Linked DNA regions of Neurospora crassa OR74A. The main gene of each other region encodes a partner of the protein of the gene in region 3 in a complex. Links are inferred from orthologs where the notes say so. Each region holds a gene or a part of one and is shown on either strand. Other genes may lie near its edges. The genes, in order: NCU02828, NCU09063, NCU06216 and NCU07679.

Evidence for each region.
Region 1: the proteins of NCU06216 (region 3) and NCU02828 are in contact, whole or in part, in a crystal structure (PDB 5OQR), measured with the Schizosaccharomyces pombe proteins. The link is inferred for Neurospora crassa OR74A from reciprocal best matches to the Schizosaccharomyces pombe genes cnd3 and cnd2. Residues at the interface, in NP_588207.1 of Schizosaccharomyces pombe: Ile4, Gln5, Ser8, Gln11, Thr12, Arg39, Ala40, Asn42, Ile43, Ile44, Leu45, Val47, Asn51, Ser52, Asn53, Ala54, Arg56, Val57, His84, Arg87, Gly88, Asp90, Ala91, Lys92, Asp93, Val96, Leu131, Asp132, Arg133, Phe165; in NP_587811.1 of Schizosaccharomyces pombe: Arg477, Asn481, Ala482, Ile483, Asp484, Phe485, Leu486, Gln487, Val489, Val491, Leu494, Phe495, Thr496, Pro497, Lys503, Leu504, Trp509, His512, Arg514, Cys515, Leu516, Leu517, Pro518, Asp519, Asp520, Tyr521, Gln522, Tyr523, Ser525, Arg527.
Region 2: NCU06216 (region 3) and NCU09063 share a complex: the UniProt entries of both Schizosaccharomyces pombe proteins name them as parts of the condensin complex. The link is inferred for Neurospora crassa OR74A from reciprocal best matches to the Schizosaccharomyces pombe genes cnd3 and cut3.
Region 4: NCU06216 (region 3) and NCU07679 share a complex: the UniProt entries of both Schizosaccharomyces pombe proteins name them as parts of the condensin complex. The link is inferred for Neurospora crassa OR74A from reciprocal best matches to the Schizosaccharomyces pombe genes cnd3 and cut14.

What each region holds. Positions count from the first base shown.
Region 1 is NC_026501.1:8,976,677-8,981,062, reverse strand, and holds the start of NCU02828 (condensin complex component cnd2), read left to right. Parts: upstream 1-1,549; coding exon 1,550-1,632; intron 1,633-1,735; coding exon 1,736-2,357; intron 2,358-2,411; coding exon 2,412-4,073; intron 4,074-4,269; coding exon 4,270-4,386. UniProt on the Schizosaccharomyces pombe protein: Regulatory subunit of the condensin complex, a complex required for conversion of interphase chromatin into mitotic-like condense chromosomes.
Region 2 is NC_026507.1:495,247-499,464, forward strand, and holds the start of NCU09063 (nuclear condensin complex subunit Smc4), read left to right. Parts: upstream 1-1,311; 5' UTR 1,312-1,612; coding exon 1,613-2,785; intron 2,786-2,834; coding exon 2,835-4,218. Other genes in the region: NCU09062 (hypothetical protein), read right to left, coding at 1-311, 387-625, 730-886. UniProt on the Schizosaccharomyces pombe protein: Central component of the condensin complex, a complex required for conversion of interphase chromatin into mitotic-like condense chromosomes.
Region 3 is NC_026503.1:1,932,218-1,934,449, reverse strand, and holds the end of NCU06216 (nuclear condensin complex subunit 3), read left to right. Parts: coding exon 1-173; intron 174-229; coding exon 230-1,341; 3' UTR 1,342-1,620; downstream 1,621-2,232. Other genes in the region: NCU06215 (transferase), read right to left, coding at 1,784-2,232. UniProt on the Schizosaccharomyces pombe protein: Regulatory subunit of the condensin complex, a complex required for conversion of interphase chromatin into mitotic-like condense chromosomes.
Region 4 is NC_026504.1:2,263,242-2,267,445, forward strand, and holds the start of NCU07679 (nuclear condensin complex subunit Smc2), read left to right. Parts: upstream 1-1,385; 5' UTR 1,386-1,679; coding exon 1,680-1,706; intron 1,707-1,806; coding exon 1,807-1,847; intron 1,848-1,916; coding exon 1,917-4,204. Other genes in the region: NCU16785 (hypothetical protein), read right to left, coding at 1-407. UniProt on the Schizosaccharomyces pombe protein: Central component of the condensin complex, a complex required for conversion of interphase chromatin into mitotic-like condense chromosomes.

The DNA.
Region 1 (4,386 bases), on a different chromosome or scaffold from region 3:
GGCAATCGAACGGCAGTTATCGTTGGGTCGCAATCGCAAATGTGATCGCAAGGTACGTATGTTGATGATGGCCGGAATTAAAAAAAAAAAAAAAAAGAGAGAAATTTGCCAGCAGCAGAAATAGAAAAGAAGAAGAAAAAAAAAACAGATAAGGCTACAAGTATGTCCAGTATGGTGTATACGATTGACGGGACGATGGCGTGGCTCGCGTGGGCGGGCGGGATTGCTGTGTTATGTAGGCGGAATGAGATCATCGTCGCAAAGTTGCCAAGGTGATTTCGGGTGGCCAGAAAGGTCGGATTAGGACTGGTGCGTCGAGGTATCCATGCGCCGCTTCTCTGAGACAAGACGATAGATTCATTGCATTGGAGATGGGTAGACGACGGATGGGCGCAAGGTAGGTATCTATTAGTGTAGATACTATAGGAAATAGGTGATTGGGAGAAAGTTGAACGAGAAGATAGAAGCTATCGATGTATGTAATCTAGAGTAGAGGCAAAGGGCAAAGAAGGAAGGCGGGGAATATTAAAAGAGGGTGACCTTCCTGGTTGGGCAGGAGACTGACATATCGCTGTGTTACCGTGTTCCTGATCTCAACAAGTTCCCTGCAGCAACCGAAAAGAAGAAAAAAATAAAAATAAAAAGGAAAGGAAAATCACGGAAAGGTAATGCTACCTTCTAACGTCTGCAGCCCCATGCGCAACCCGGTTGGACATGGAGACGCTGTTTCGGTTGGAGTCTGTCTTGACTGTAGAGTAGGAATACATACCTACTACAGATGCCTACTATACTTCTACAGTGCATACATACGCGAGCTCCAATCGATGCGGGTGAGGTGACCAACAGGAACGGAACTTCCATCTGAACTAACTCAAGAGGCTGTGGATTTGTGGCGACAAGAGAGATGAGTCTTGATCGCATCACAAAGAGGTCAAGACGGGGGAGGTAGCCCATATGCCCTGCCACTTGTACACTAGGTAGAGGTAGATATACGTCTCCTTTCTCTAGTTATGTAGGGAGTGCACATGCGTGACAACTTCGGACTCAGGAACTTCAATCGGAGTTTCAACTCCCCAAGTGAACCCCACATACAAGGTACACGTGTATGTAGTGTAAGTACCAGAAGGGGGGGGGGCTCTGTGTGATCGCCAACGGCCGCCGCATGTAACAGTATGTCCCTTGTACGTGTATGGATGTATCGATGCCCTGTAATGTACCGCTGTACCTGAGCGTAGTACCTTGACTGTAGAGGTAGCTTAGTCATTCGATGCCAAGCCCCCCAGACTTCCTCCCTTCAACTTCCTCACCCCGCTCTTAGTTACCTCTACCATAGTACTGCGTAGTAGGCCCCAGCACGTGCCGCCACCCGTCACCAGCCCGCCCGCTGAGACGTGGATCCGTCTAGCCCGTGTCTGCGCTACCTATCCAGCATTGGCACTCCCATCGTGGTTACGGGCGGGTCAAAGTAAACAAACACCACTGAAAGTCCAAACTAGACAGCGGCCGCCTGGAGCTTCACATCTTGGATAGCTTCGTCAACACCGCCAAGATGCCTCGCCTCAGCACAGGTCCGCGACGGAGCATGAGCAAGGGCCCTGCGGTGCCATCCCCGCTCAAATCCCCCGGCCTCAAGTACGTCTTTTCTTTGAATTGCGAATTGCGAATTGAACGTCTTGTCGCGTCCCTCTTTCATTTTCCTCCCTTGTAACTGACCAGAGATATTCGTCCCGACTAGAATCCCACTAAACGACGACGCCCAAGAAAAGGAACAACGATCGCGAGGACGCAAAGCCCTCCACGAGGCCCAGATCAACCAGCTCAAACTCGCCGCGACCGCAGTCGCAACCCCCGCCCGCAGCGTAATCGACGAAAATGGCACTCCGACCTCCAACGGACCGCGCACCCCGCGTCGCCGCATCTCTGGCAAGGAGAACTTCTCCATCCTCGACGACGATGACAGGCCGGTTGTGGGCGGCGCCGTCGTCACCCCCATGAAGCGCGTCCCCATCCTGGCCAACTTTGAGGAGTGGATGAAGATGGCCACCGACAACAAGATCAATGCCGCCAACTCGTGGAACTTTGCGCTGATCGACTACTTCCATGATATGTCGCTACTCAAGGAAGGAGACGGTGTCAATTTCCAAAAGGCCAGTTGCACGCTGGACGGGTGTGTCAAGATTTATACCAGCAGAGTCGACAGTGTTGCGACGGAAACCGGAAAGCTGCTCAGTGGTTTGGCCGACAGTCGCGACAGCAAGAAGAGGGATAGGGGCGAGGGCGAGGACGGCGGCGATGACGATGAGGAGGAGGACGAGGTGGACGAGAATGGCAACGTACTAAAGAAGCGTAGAAAGAAGGTTGGTTGCTCGGCTCACTGCTACGGGCGGGTTGCATGATACTGACAATTGCAGACCCAACGATCCTCCGAAGCCACCCTGGCACCCTCTTTCGCTTCCCTGCAGCTCAAAAAGTTCGAACTCGAATTCTCAGTAGATCCGCTCTTCAAAAAGGCATCAGCAGACTTCGATGAGGGAGGCGCTAAGGGTCTCCTCTTGAACCATCTGATGATCGATTCGCAGGGTCGCATCGTCTTTGACAGCAGCGACGACGCCATCGACACTCTCGACTCACGCAACCAAAAAGCCGCCGAGGAGAACGACCAAGATGCCGACCCGGACGCCATGGATATTGATGCGATGGAAATCGACGGCCAAACCGAAAAGACCCAGACCCGGACCCAACAACAAGAAGAAGAGGAGGAGGACGATGTGGAGATCGACATTGCCAGTCTTGGTGCTAGGTTCTTTCCCGATCTTGGACGACTAGACGAGATGGATGTGTGCCCATCGCTCAAGACTTTTATCCTCGGAGACCCCTCCGGATCCCTCGATATTCCCTTCCTCAGAGCGCCCGAGGACTGGCGCCAGGAGCAAGATAGAGCCAAGACCCCTGGCCTCGGCAACAAATCCGGCTTCATTATTGATGACGAGAACCCGCTCGGTTTCGATGACGATGATGCGCTGGGCGCATTCGACCTGGGAGGAGACGTTGACGTAGCCTTCGGTGAGGGTGGAGAAGCCTGGGCCCGCGAAGCCGCCATCGAGCCACAAATGATGCGGGTCTTTGACGCCGGTCTAGACATAGGAGAGGGCGAAGGTGGTGACGATGGTGATGGAGTAGACGGCGACCTCGAAATGATCGATCAAGACAAGGGCGATTTCGGCATGGTTAACATGACGAACGCCCAAAAGACGGACCGGCTGCACGAGGACATTCTCAGCTACTTCGACCAAGCCCTATCAAAGAACTGGACCAGCGCCGAGCACTGGCGCATTCGCAAGATCAAAGATGTCAACAAACCCCAAACGGGAGAACCACAACGCCAGCGCAAGGAGAAACAGGCTTTCGAGATCGACTTCTTCACCCCCGTGGATCGCACCCTTCACGACGTCCTGCACACCCAAGCCACCACCAACTCGGCCATTTCGCTGCCCAAGAAGGACTGGAAGTCCAAGTCGCGCAACCTGCTGCCGGACGACAAGCACTTCAGCTCCAAGCAGCTGCTCAACCTCTTCCTCAAGCCCAAGGCCCGTCTCGGCCGCAAGCAGCGCGCCTTTGGCCGTTCCAATGCCGACAACCAAAACCCAGACCAAGTCCCCGAGGGCACCATGGACGAGGCCTTCTGGGCCCAACAAAAAGCGCCGCTGAACCAGGGCCCATCATCGCAAGACGACCATCTACCGCAGGGTGACTACGACGCCAACTTCTTCCAGGATGACGGTCTGCCGTTTGCCAACGGCGGAGACGACGATGACGACGAAGACATGGACGAGGAAGTCTTTGCTGACGCACGGGATCACTTCTCGCCTGGCCCCGGTGGCACGCAAGGGGATGGCGCTGCCGGGAAAGAAGGAACAGCAGGACTGACGATGGACGTGGGCATGACGGGCGCGTTTAACGGGCTGACGGTTACGAACCCGGCCGATTTGGCGTTTGGCACGATGCTGGTCACGCAATCACGAAGAGTCAGGCCCGAGTATGTGCAGTATGCGAGACGGGCCAAGAAGGTGGATGTCAGGAGGCTGAAGGAGGAACTTTGGCGGGGGATGGGGATGGACATGTTGAATGGCGGACGTTTTTTTTTTTTTTTTTTTTTTTTTTTTTTTTCCTCTCTTCTTTTCTCCTCCCTGTTTTTCTTTTCTTTTTTTTTTTTTCTTTTTGTTTCATCCTCTTTTTATTTCTCCCAGTTACTAACAACACGAACAACAGATACCAACAACAACAACAACAACAACAACAAACCCCGAAGACTCCCTCCTCTCCCCACCCCCAACGACGACCCCATCCGCCCAACCACCGAGCTCCTCAGTAGAACCTCCCAAAGAA
Region 2 (4,218 bases), on a different chromosome or scaffold from region 3:
TTGTCCGGCTGCTCTAGAATGGAAGCTACTAACCTTTCAAACAGCTGCTGGCGGGTCCACTCCGGGTAGCGACGCGAGAAATCGAGTGCTTCGGTGACGTTAGTACGAGCAAGAGCGCCAAAGAGCAGCTCGAGAGCCTCGGATGAAGTAAAGACGGGCTGGGCGGCGTGGAAGTAGGCGAGAGCTAGCGTGTAATCGCTCTGACTGGTGGAGCTGCGCTTGTTGACGAGCGGATGGCGGACAAGGGCGATGGTGATTTCGTCGGCGAATTCGGTGGGGAGGGATGGGTGGGTTAGGTTTTCGATTGCGTACTGTTTAGCAGCGTTTGTTAGCGTCTTGATGTCCAGTGTGCAACTTAGGTTCCAGAACCAAACGGACGTCCGCACCTTGAACTCCATGCGATCCATGTGCCACAGGCCCCTCATAAGGATCTGGTACTTTTTCGGCAGTCCCGTCTCCTCAGCAAAGCTGTCCGCCCAATGCGAACGACCTGGATGGACGTCATCATGGTCGAGGAGGAGATAGTAAAGAACGGATATCTTTTGGATCGACGAGGCGCTGCTCTGGCAGATTTGTTGGTGGAGGGAGCGCAAGCCGTTCTCACCTCTGGGCGGATATGCAGTGCCTAGAGGTAGTTACAGTGGTGATTAGCGATGAAGCGCGCTATAACGACAGGGCATGGGTTGTTAGGGTGATTAGGTGGTAGTGTGGTGTTTACACTACACTAACCTTGGGCGATGCCTAACCGACTTAGGACGCGATCCACAAACAGGACGCCGCCCAATGATTTGCGGAAAGTCTCAATGGCACTGGCTCCCTTGTGATCGTAGGGGTTTATGAATCCCGGAGAGGGGAACACGTTGTTGTATTCTGTATAGTCGAGCATCGTGATGTTGAAGTTGGATTGCACAGTTGAAGTGCCCAAGTGTCCTTAGCTGTTGAATGAATTGAATGGAAAGGGAAAAGGGAAAATCGAAGGGATGGATGAGTGCCGTCATGGCCTGGGATACATGTATGCAACGGCCATCGGGTCCGTCAGGTCCATCCCCTGCACCTGGAATGGAGCCTTCCCCGGATCTGTACCTGCGCTAGGTAACGGCCTGTCTTGGCTTATCGATAAGGTAAGAAAGCCGTAAGCGCATGGAATGTTTGTTACACAGAGCGGGACTCCACCAGCCTGCCACGCATGCAGTGATAGCGCAACACGGTGCGAGCGTTCCAGGCAGCGGAGGGGTCGCCCGCTGCAGTGCACGAATTGCATTGGCTGCCCGTGGCTGCTGTGGCTGATTGTTTACCACCGCAGTCACGGTATTGCAAGAAGCGTCCGTCCAAAAACTGCCCTGAATGTCAACAATCTAACCGCGGCGGGGCAAGGAAGAAGCTGCGACAGCACTCAAAGAGTTTCTGCGTGGGCGTCCCATTCCGTGTCTGTCGCAACAACTGCCCTGCGAAATGTGAATACCATTTTTCATCTTTACTTGTTATTACATAAACTTTCACTCCTTGGTTGTCTGATACCCGCATCTTGCAGCGCTTTCTGTTCCATTCTGTTCTGTTGTTTTCATCATCGAGTCGAGAATTTGCAGGCCGAAACCACCGACAGACATCAGTCATGTCGACGCGCCCATCGCGTCGGGCCGCCGCAACCAGGCGCGCCGCCATCATCGAAGAATCCTCATCAGACGACGATATCGCAAACACCACATCGAGAGGCGCCCAAGATGACGACGAGGAGGACGATTATACACCCGCGCCAGCTTCGGCAGCCCGCAAGACTGCTCAGCGAACCACCAGAAGATCCACTGCCACGCCCGCTCCTAGGGCAGGAACACCAGCAGCAGCATCATCATCAACTGCACCGGCACCGGCACCAAAAGCTGCGCCGAAAAGGCGCGGACGACCTAAGAAGAATGCCGCGCCCAAACCCAGCAAAGAGCCCAGTGTCGAACCGAGTGTCGAAGCGAATAACGATCCCCAAGCCGAACCCGAAGCCCCAGCGCCTGCCGTCAAGCCAAAGGATGAGCCGATCGAGGAGGGTATCGACCCCAATGTGACTGTCGCGTCTGCCGTTTCGCCCGCTACAACCGCCGTGATCGCGGAGCCAGAAGCACGGGATACGCAAGAAATTCAGTCACCCCCGCGGAAGCGTAGAACTCTTGTGCGGCGCCTCAGCAGATCGCCAGCAAAGATCATGCAGCAACAACTCGAGCTGCAACAGCAACAAGCCAGCCGTCAAGGGACACCAACGCCAGGCTCTCCGTCAACTCAACGCGTCGATCGCCAACCTGCTCCTCTACAGGACATCACCCAGACCCTCATCAACCTACCACCTCCAGCGACCGCGGCATCAGAGACCCTTGTCAACACACAGCCAACATCAACAGCAGATGAAACCGTCGTGGCGGCCCAGAAGCCCGTCAGGGCTATGGATACTATTCTGGAAAAGCCCATGGATATTGTGCTCAAGTCACGGACCATGGCTCTTCCCGTCGTCGAGGATACCGGCCCGAAGCCACGCATTGTCATCACCAATCTTGTGCTCATCAACTTCAAGAGTTACGCCGGTAGACAGGAGGTCGGCCCCTTCCATGCTTCGTTCTCTTCGGTCGTGGGTCCCAACGGTTCTGGCAAATCCAACGTCATCGACTCGTTGCTGTTCGTCTTTGGTTTCCGTGCCAGCAAGATGCGACAAGGCAAGATCTCGGCCTTGATTCACAATTCGGCGCAGTTTCCGAATCTCGACTACTGTGAGGTGGAAGTGCATTTCCAGGAAGTCATGGACTTGGTAAGTCAAACATTGTTTTGAAGGGGAGTCATTGTGCTGACATTGATAGCCCGGCGGTGGCCACGAGGTTATCCCCGACTCAACACTCGTCATCTCGCGCAAAGCATTCAAGAACAACTCGAGCCAGTACTACATCAACGGCAAATCATCCAATTTTACCACCGTGACCACGCTACTCCGCGACCGTGGTGTCGATCTGGATCACAAGCGTTTTCTCATTCTCCAGGGCGAAGTCGAATCGATTGCCCAGATGAAGCCCAAAGCCGGCAACGAGCACGAAGATGGTCTGTTGGAGTACCTAGAAGACATTATTGGCACTTCCAAATACAAGACACCAATTGAAGAGTCGGCCACCGAAGTCGAAACCCTCAACGAGATCTGCATGGAGAAGAGTGGTCGTGTCCAGCACGTGGAAAAGGAAAGGAACAGTCTCGAGGACAAGAAGAACAAGGCGCTGGCGTATGTTCGCGATGAAAACGAACTGGCGCTGAAACAGTCGGCTCTCTACCAGCTATACATCAGCGAATGCGACGACAATATTGCTGTCACAGAGGAGGCTATCGGTCAGATGCAGGCACAACTTGACGCTGAGCTTGAGAAGCACCACGGCAGCGAACAGCTCATCAAGCAGTTGGAAAAGGCCTACTCCAAGGGTAGCAAGGAATACGACTCTTGGGAGAAGCAGACACAGCAGCTGGTCAAGGAGATGAACAAGTTCGAGCAGGAACGCGTCAAATTCGAGGAGAAGCGGAAGTTCTTGACGGACAAGCGTAAGAAGCTTGAGAAGACGATCGCTAACGCCGAGAAGACGGCTGTTGAAGCGGAGGAGACCATTCAGAACTGCACCAAGGAGATTGAGCGTCGTCAAAAGGACATTGTTTTCCTGGAGAAGAAGGTCAAGGAAGAGGAGGCCGAGCTTGCGACGATACGTGAGAGCCTCAAGGGCAAGACGCAAAAGTACTCGGATCAGATCGCGGCAAAGCAAAAGTCTCTCGAGCCTTGGAAGGACAAGATCAATCAGAAACAGTCCGCCATTGCCGTTGCGGAGAGTGAGCTGGCCATTCTCAGGGAAAAGGCCAATGCCGGAACTGTGGCCCTTGAGGAGATGGAGACGAAAATTGTGGCCATCCAGGAAAGGCAAGCGGCGAAGGCGGAGGAGATGGAGCAGTGCAAAGCTGAGAGAGCGAACCTGATCAAGGAGGGCAAGAAGATCGAGGCTGAACTTTCCAAGCTTGCGGAGGAGGAACCCAAGTACCGGCAACAGCTTTCGAATGCCCGCCAAAAGGCTGACGAGGCGCGGTCGAGCTTGTCCGCCACACAAAACCGAGGCAATGTCTTGACTGCCCTTATGCGCATGAAGGAGTCGGGTCGTATCGATGGGTTTCATGGACGACTTGGAAATCTCGGTGCTATTGACCAGAAGTACGATATTG
Region 3 (2,232 bases):
CAGCATGTCGACCATCGCTGCCTGCTTGGTCGACTGGACGGATCCCAGAAAGTGCTACAACCCCGATGAAGGGTTCAGCGCCGGCCTTGACCCCGAGAAGAAGACCGTTTCGGCAGATGTGCACCTCGACTTCGCCAAGGATATTCTCGAAAGGCTACAAGGAAATGGAGCCAGTACGTATTCATTGTTGCCTCTCCCACCAAATCGTGATACTGACACCCAGACACAGAAGAAGAAAAGCGCATCATGGCCGCCCTTCTCGCAAAGCTCTACATCCCATCCGGCTCCTCTTCCTCCAACCCCTCCTCGCCCATCAAGATCCGCGACGTCTACGCCCTCGTCACCAACGCTGTTGAGAACAACCTCCTCTCCGACGCCACCTCTCGCAACGCCCTCTACAAGGTCCATGTCTCCCTTGGCAAGATTGTCAACGCCCTTGATGCCGCCGCCGAGCAAGATGCCGCCAACAACGCCGCGGGCCGCCATGCCTCCATTGCCTCCGGCGCCACCACCCATAGAAGAAGCGCCAGCAGGGCAGGCAGCGTCGCTCCTAGCCGGGCGGGTAGCGTGGCGCCTCCGGCTAGCGAAGCCAGTGGCGGCGGCGGCGGCGGGGCTGTGTCCAGAGCCGGTTCCGTCGCACCATCTGCGTCTGGTGCTACTGCTGCGCCTGTTAACAGCAGGAAGAGAAAGGAAAGGGAGGTCAGCGTTGGCGTCTCCATCAAGGAGGAGGACGAGAACGAGGACGAGGGCGAGGATGTGGAAATGGGTGGTACGCAAGTGGGCGATAATGATAATGCTGGTGATCGGGAAACAACACCAAAACCAACTGCGACAGAAGCCCAGGAGCCGAGCACGGAACAGAGAAGGTTGTTGAGAGGCGTTTCTCTGAGGAGTAGGAGGCAGAGCTCGCAGAGTGTGGTTAGCGTACAACCGCAGCAGCAACAAGAGGAGGAGCAGGAAGAACAACAACAACAACAACAACCGACAGGAAGGAGAGGGAGTAGGAGGGCTAGTGCGATGAAAGCCAAGGCGCGGTTGAGTGCTGGACGGAGCAGCAGAGCAGGTACGGAGGATATTGCGGAGGAGATACTGGATGATAGTGATGGAGATACGGTGATGGAGAGGACGAAGATTGAGGAGGAGGACGAAGAAGAACAAGAAGAAAAAAAGCGCGAGGACGAGGAACAGGACGATGAGGTAGGAGGGGAAGAGGATGGGAAAGAAGAAGAAGAGGAAGAAGAGGAGGAGGACGGTGATGACGATGATGGAGAGAACGAAGGGAAAGATGATGACGAGCTTGTTGATGAGTTATTGTCGGATGAAGAGGACGACTTCGAATAGGGTTGCGTACGGATTGAAGACGGAGATTCTGGATTGTTGAACTACATATGAACTGACTTGATTGGGTTTGGATGGGACACTACGTAATATATGGAGGCTCTGTGTTTCTGGCTTTGGTTCATGTCGTTTGCTTGCTGTCGAGGCCTGAGCTTCTTGGGCTAAGACGTATTGCCTTGGTTTATTTTGTCCTTGAACATTGCAGGATACCATTGAATGAAATGTCAAAAGGCTTTCTTTGTTTGCTTCCATGCATTTCAACTTTAGCATCTCCTCATCCAAGTGATGCTGAGGAACGATTTCGAGAATTTATCTACTCGTTCTAATCTAACCTTTATATCTACTACAAGCAACCAACACACAATGATCCACACATCCTATCAAACCACCCGGCCCTTCCTTGGGCTCGTCCTCTTGGACAAGATTGTACCACCTCATATTTTACCTAAAATGACCCAAGCCAGAACAACAACCCACTCAGCCCAACATTAATTACCAAATGCTGCACCAAGCTCCAAGCCACGCAGTACAAGTACTTTGGGGAAAATACCGTCCACACGAACAAGTGCGTCCTGAGGATCGTACAAGCCGCCATAACCGCCGCGACACTAAACGCGGTAAACAGCGTCGTCACGGCAACATAGGTCTTGAACGGACTGATTTGCCCCCCTTCAAGCATCTGTTTCGCTTCCGCTTCTTCCTCCTTTTCGTCGCTCCCTCTTTTCCCATTGTTACCGCTACCCAACCTTTTCTGTCTCTGATCTCTCCGCCAAATCTCCCCCAAAAGCACCACCGTCCCAAAAGCCCACCACACCGGTCCCGCCCAGTTCCCCACGTACGTCAAGATGCCAACTAGGACAACGTTGAAATTGCTCACCCCGTTGTAGGCGTTAG
Region 4 (4,204 bases), on a different chromosome or scaffold from region 3:
GAGCTCTTTTGTTTCCCAGCGGTTTGAGTTGCCAACCTTTCTGACCCGGTATGATATGATTCTCCACCGGTAAGCAGTGATGTGGTAAACTCCTGAACGGAGGCCCACGTCGAAGCCCACGAGCCATCGAGCAGACCACGGCCACCCCTGGGGCTACTTGTACGAGCGGAGCCCGCCGCGACCTCGAGTCTAGAATCGTTCCTCCCAGTAACATCTCCTATGCGTGCGGCGGGAATCGGCGAGGCCCCTCTGTCTGAGGTCCTGCTCGGGCTTGAGTAGAGGGAGGATGATGTTGCATTATTCCGGTTGCTCGCTACGCGGCGGTTCCGTGGCCGAAGAGAGTTATCATCCACTTCTGCTGAAGCCGACAAGAGAGCATTCGAAGGGGGGCGCTGCGAGAGACTCATGGCTTTGTGTTGATTGTGTCCTCGCAGGGAGGGCGCAAACCTCGGCGCCTTATGGTTCGTGGTTCGAAGGGAGCATCAGATAGCAGTTGTTCGAGGAACCATGGAGAGGGTGCCCCTTGCTGCTAGGCTGTTATTATTCTCTTTGCAAGTGTGTGACTGCTGGAGACTATGGGCACTGGTCGCAACGCTATGAGTGCCCTCGCTTCGTTTGTTTTTCCTCTCGAGATGCGCCGTAACGTGGAGTTCTCTTTGTAAGTTTATTGATGGAGACGGATTGCTCGCGGTGATGGCCCAATCGGTTGAAGCTGGGCTGGAGATCGGATCCGGTAGGACGTCGAGACAAAGGTACGGCGGGTAACAGGTCGTTGCGATTAGGTGGTTAATTGAAATGCGCGTCATGAAATCACAAAAATGCCACCAATAGCCGAACAATGATCTTGAACGGGAGACGCTCAGTTTGATGGGAAAGCTGGAGGGTGAAAGGTCCAAGAGCTTCCACTTCACTACGGTAGGTTGTGACGAGCTGGAGGAATCGATGCGCAAGCAGGAACGTGCCGTCCAGGTTCCCACTCACGCAGGGCAGTCGTGCCACTGTGTTCTAGTTGGCGGCGTCCCCGGCCTGTGGCCTGAATGGAGGCTCCCATAGGTATCCCGGAGGGGGCTCCCGTCGGCCAGTTCAGGGCCAAGAACCGGGCATAGCGGGGACCATGCCTTGCCTCCCCGGCCATGCCGTGCACTTGAAGGAAAGGCTCCACAATGTGTTTTGGCTCTGCGCCATGTACAAATCAGGCCCGTTTTGCATGGTCTTTTGGTACGTAATGATTTACTGCTCCAGGCCGAATCAAGGGCCTCGCAAGACGGAGAATAGGATCCCGCGTAGAGCTTCCTGATCTTATGTGCGCCAAGCCGAGTTACTTGGGATCTTTGCCGACGAAAGGGTCATCATAAATGGTGATAGACCAAAAAGGGGTACATATACATAGCCAGAGCACGGACCCAGTGTCGCAGAGAGCCACTTGCTACATAATCCCCACCTTTGTGAGCATCGCGCCAGGGGCAGGCGGGCACGTGCAGACGTGAATGCAGGGCGCCCTGTCCTGGCCCACACCCCGCCCTTCCCCCAAACCCAGTGGTGCCTGAGAAAAGTAAACAAACGTTGAGTCCATCTTCCGATCTTGTTGCAATTGTTCGGGCAGGCGCGGGCGTTTCTTACAGCAGCGCCAAAGTCTGAGCCACCACAATCCTCGGGCCCAAAACCACGACGACGCCAGAATGAGGGTTACCGAAGTCATTATCGACGTACGTGTTTCTCCACGGTGCCATCAGTCGCGACCGGACCGAACGTGGGATGCGACAACTTGAAGTCGCGACAGAGCTGACATATTCGTGCCTCACATAGGGCTTCAAGTCGTACGCCGTTAGAACGGTGATTTCGGGATGGTAAGGGCACAAATCCATCAGGGCGATGGAAGGCATCCTCCCAACTGCATAACTAACCGGCCGTCACAGGGATGAGAGCTTCAACTCCATTACCGGCCTCAACGGCAGCGGTAAATCCAACATCCTCGACGCCATCTGCTTCGTCCTCGGTATTACCAACATGTCAACAGTCCGCGCTCAAAACCTGCAGGATCTTATCTACAAACGAGGCCAAGCTGGTGTCACGAAGGCTAGCGTTACCATAGTGTTCGACAATAGAGACAAGAAAAAGTCACCAATCGGATTCGAAGAGTATGCGACCATCAGCGTTACCCGCCAAATCGTGCTCGGAGGCACCTCAAAATACCTGATCAACGGTCATCGTGCGCAGCAACAAACCGTACAGAACCTCTTCCAATCGGTTCAGCTCAATATCAACAACCCCAACTTCCTCATCATGCAGGGCCGCATCACAAAAGTTTTGAATATGAAGGCCGTTGAAATCCTGGCCATGATCGAGGAGGCAGCTGGCACAAGGATGTTCGAGGACAGGAGGGACAAAGCACTCAAGACGATGGCCAAGAAGGAGATGAAGTTACAGGAGATCAAAGAACTCTTGCGGGATGAGATCGAACCGAAACTGGAGAAGCTACGAACCGAAAAGCGCGCATTCCTCGACTTTCAGCAAACACAAAACGACCTGGAGCGATTGACAAGGCTCGTGGTGGCGCACGATTACGTAAGGTGTCAGGAGAAGCTACAACAGTCAGCATCGGATCTTGAGGCGAAGAAGCAGCGCCAGAAAGAACTTGAGGAATCTGCTATCCGGCTGAAAAATGAGATATCCCATCTGGAGGAGGACTTACAACGGGTTAAGGCACAGCGCGACAAGGAATTACGAAAAGGTGGCAAGGCTCAAGCCCTGGAAGAAGCAGTGAAGAAGCACGCCAACGAGCTGGTAAGGCTTGCTACTGTTGTGGATTTGAAGAAGAGCAGTATGAAGGAGGAGCAGGAACGGAGGAAAGCTGGAGAGAAGAACGTTGCGGACCTGGAAGCGGCGCTGAAGGAGAAGACGAAGACGTACGAGAAGATCAAGGCGAAATACGATGCCGCCAAGGAGACGCTTGAAAAGCAGAGGCAAGAAGCAGACACCAAGGAAGAGCTGCTACAAACCCTGCAAACTGGTGTTGCGTCCAAGGAGGGACAGGAGAACGGTTACCAAGGACAACTACAAGACGCGAGAAACAGGGCCACGGCTGCGGCAACTGAACAAGAGCAGGCAAAGATCAAAATCGCCCATCTGGAGAAGCGAATCAAAGGGGAAGAACCCCGGGCCAGGAAGGCCAAAGAGCAAAACGCCGGCTTGCTGAAGGATCTCGATGGCCTGAAAGCCCAGGCTCAGAGGCTTGAGAAGGAGCTTGGAAGGCTTGGGTTCCAACCCGGGACGGAGGAAGAAATGTATAAGCAGGAAAGCTCGCTCCAGCAGACTATCCGCAATCTCAGGCAAGAAGCCGATGCGCTTAAACGCAAGGTGGCAAATATCGACTTCAACTACGCCGATCCAGTCCCAAACTTTGATCGATCAAAAGTGAAAGGGCTAGTCGCGCAACTCTTTTCATTACCCAAAGAGTATATGGAAGCTGGAACAGCGCTGGAGATCTGCGCTGGAGGCCGTCTTTACAACGTGGTTGTTGACACCGAAGTCACTGGCACACAACTACTGCAAGGCGGTAGATTGCGAAAGAGGGTTACCATCATTCCCTTGAACAAGATCTCTGCTTTCAAGGCTTCTGCACAAACGATTGCCAATGCGCAACGAATCGCTCCAGGAAAAGTGCACCTGGCTTTGTCCCTAGTTGGGTACGACGATGAAGTGTCAGCGGCAATGGACTATGTCTTTGGAAATACGCTCATTTGCGCTGATGCAGACACAGCCAAGAGAGTGACGTTCGATCCAAATGTCCGCATGAGGAGCATCACAGTGGAGGGTGATTCGTACGATCCATCTGGTACACTATCGGGTGGAAGTGCCCCCAACTCGAGCGGCGTTTTGGTTACTTTGCAGAAGCTCAATGAAATCAATCGGCAGCTGAAGGAAGCAGAGACCGCCCTCAATGAGCTACGCGGCCAAATTTACCGGGAAAAAACGAAACTTGACCAAGCAAAGAGAATCAAGCAAGAACTTGACCTCAAAGCCCATGAGATCAAGCTAGCGGAGGAGCAAATTGGCGGCAACTCATCATCATCGATCATCCAAGAGATTGCAAATATGAAGGAAACAATAGTCCAACTCAAGCAGTCGATCATGGAGGCCAAGCAGCGACAGGCAGAAGCCACCGCCGAAGCCAAAAGAATCGAAAAGGACATGAAGGACTTTG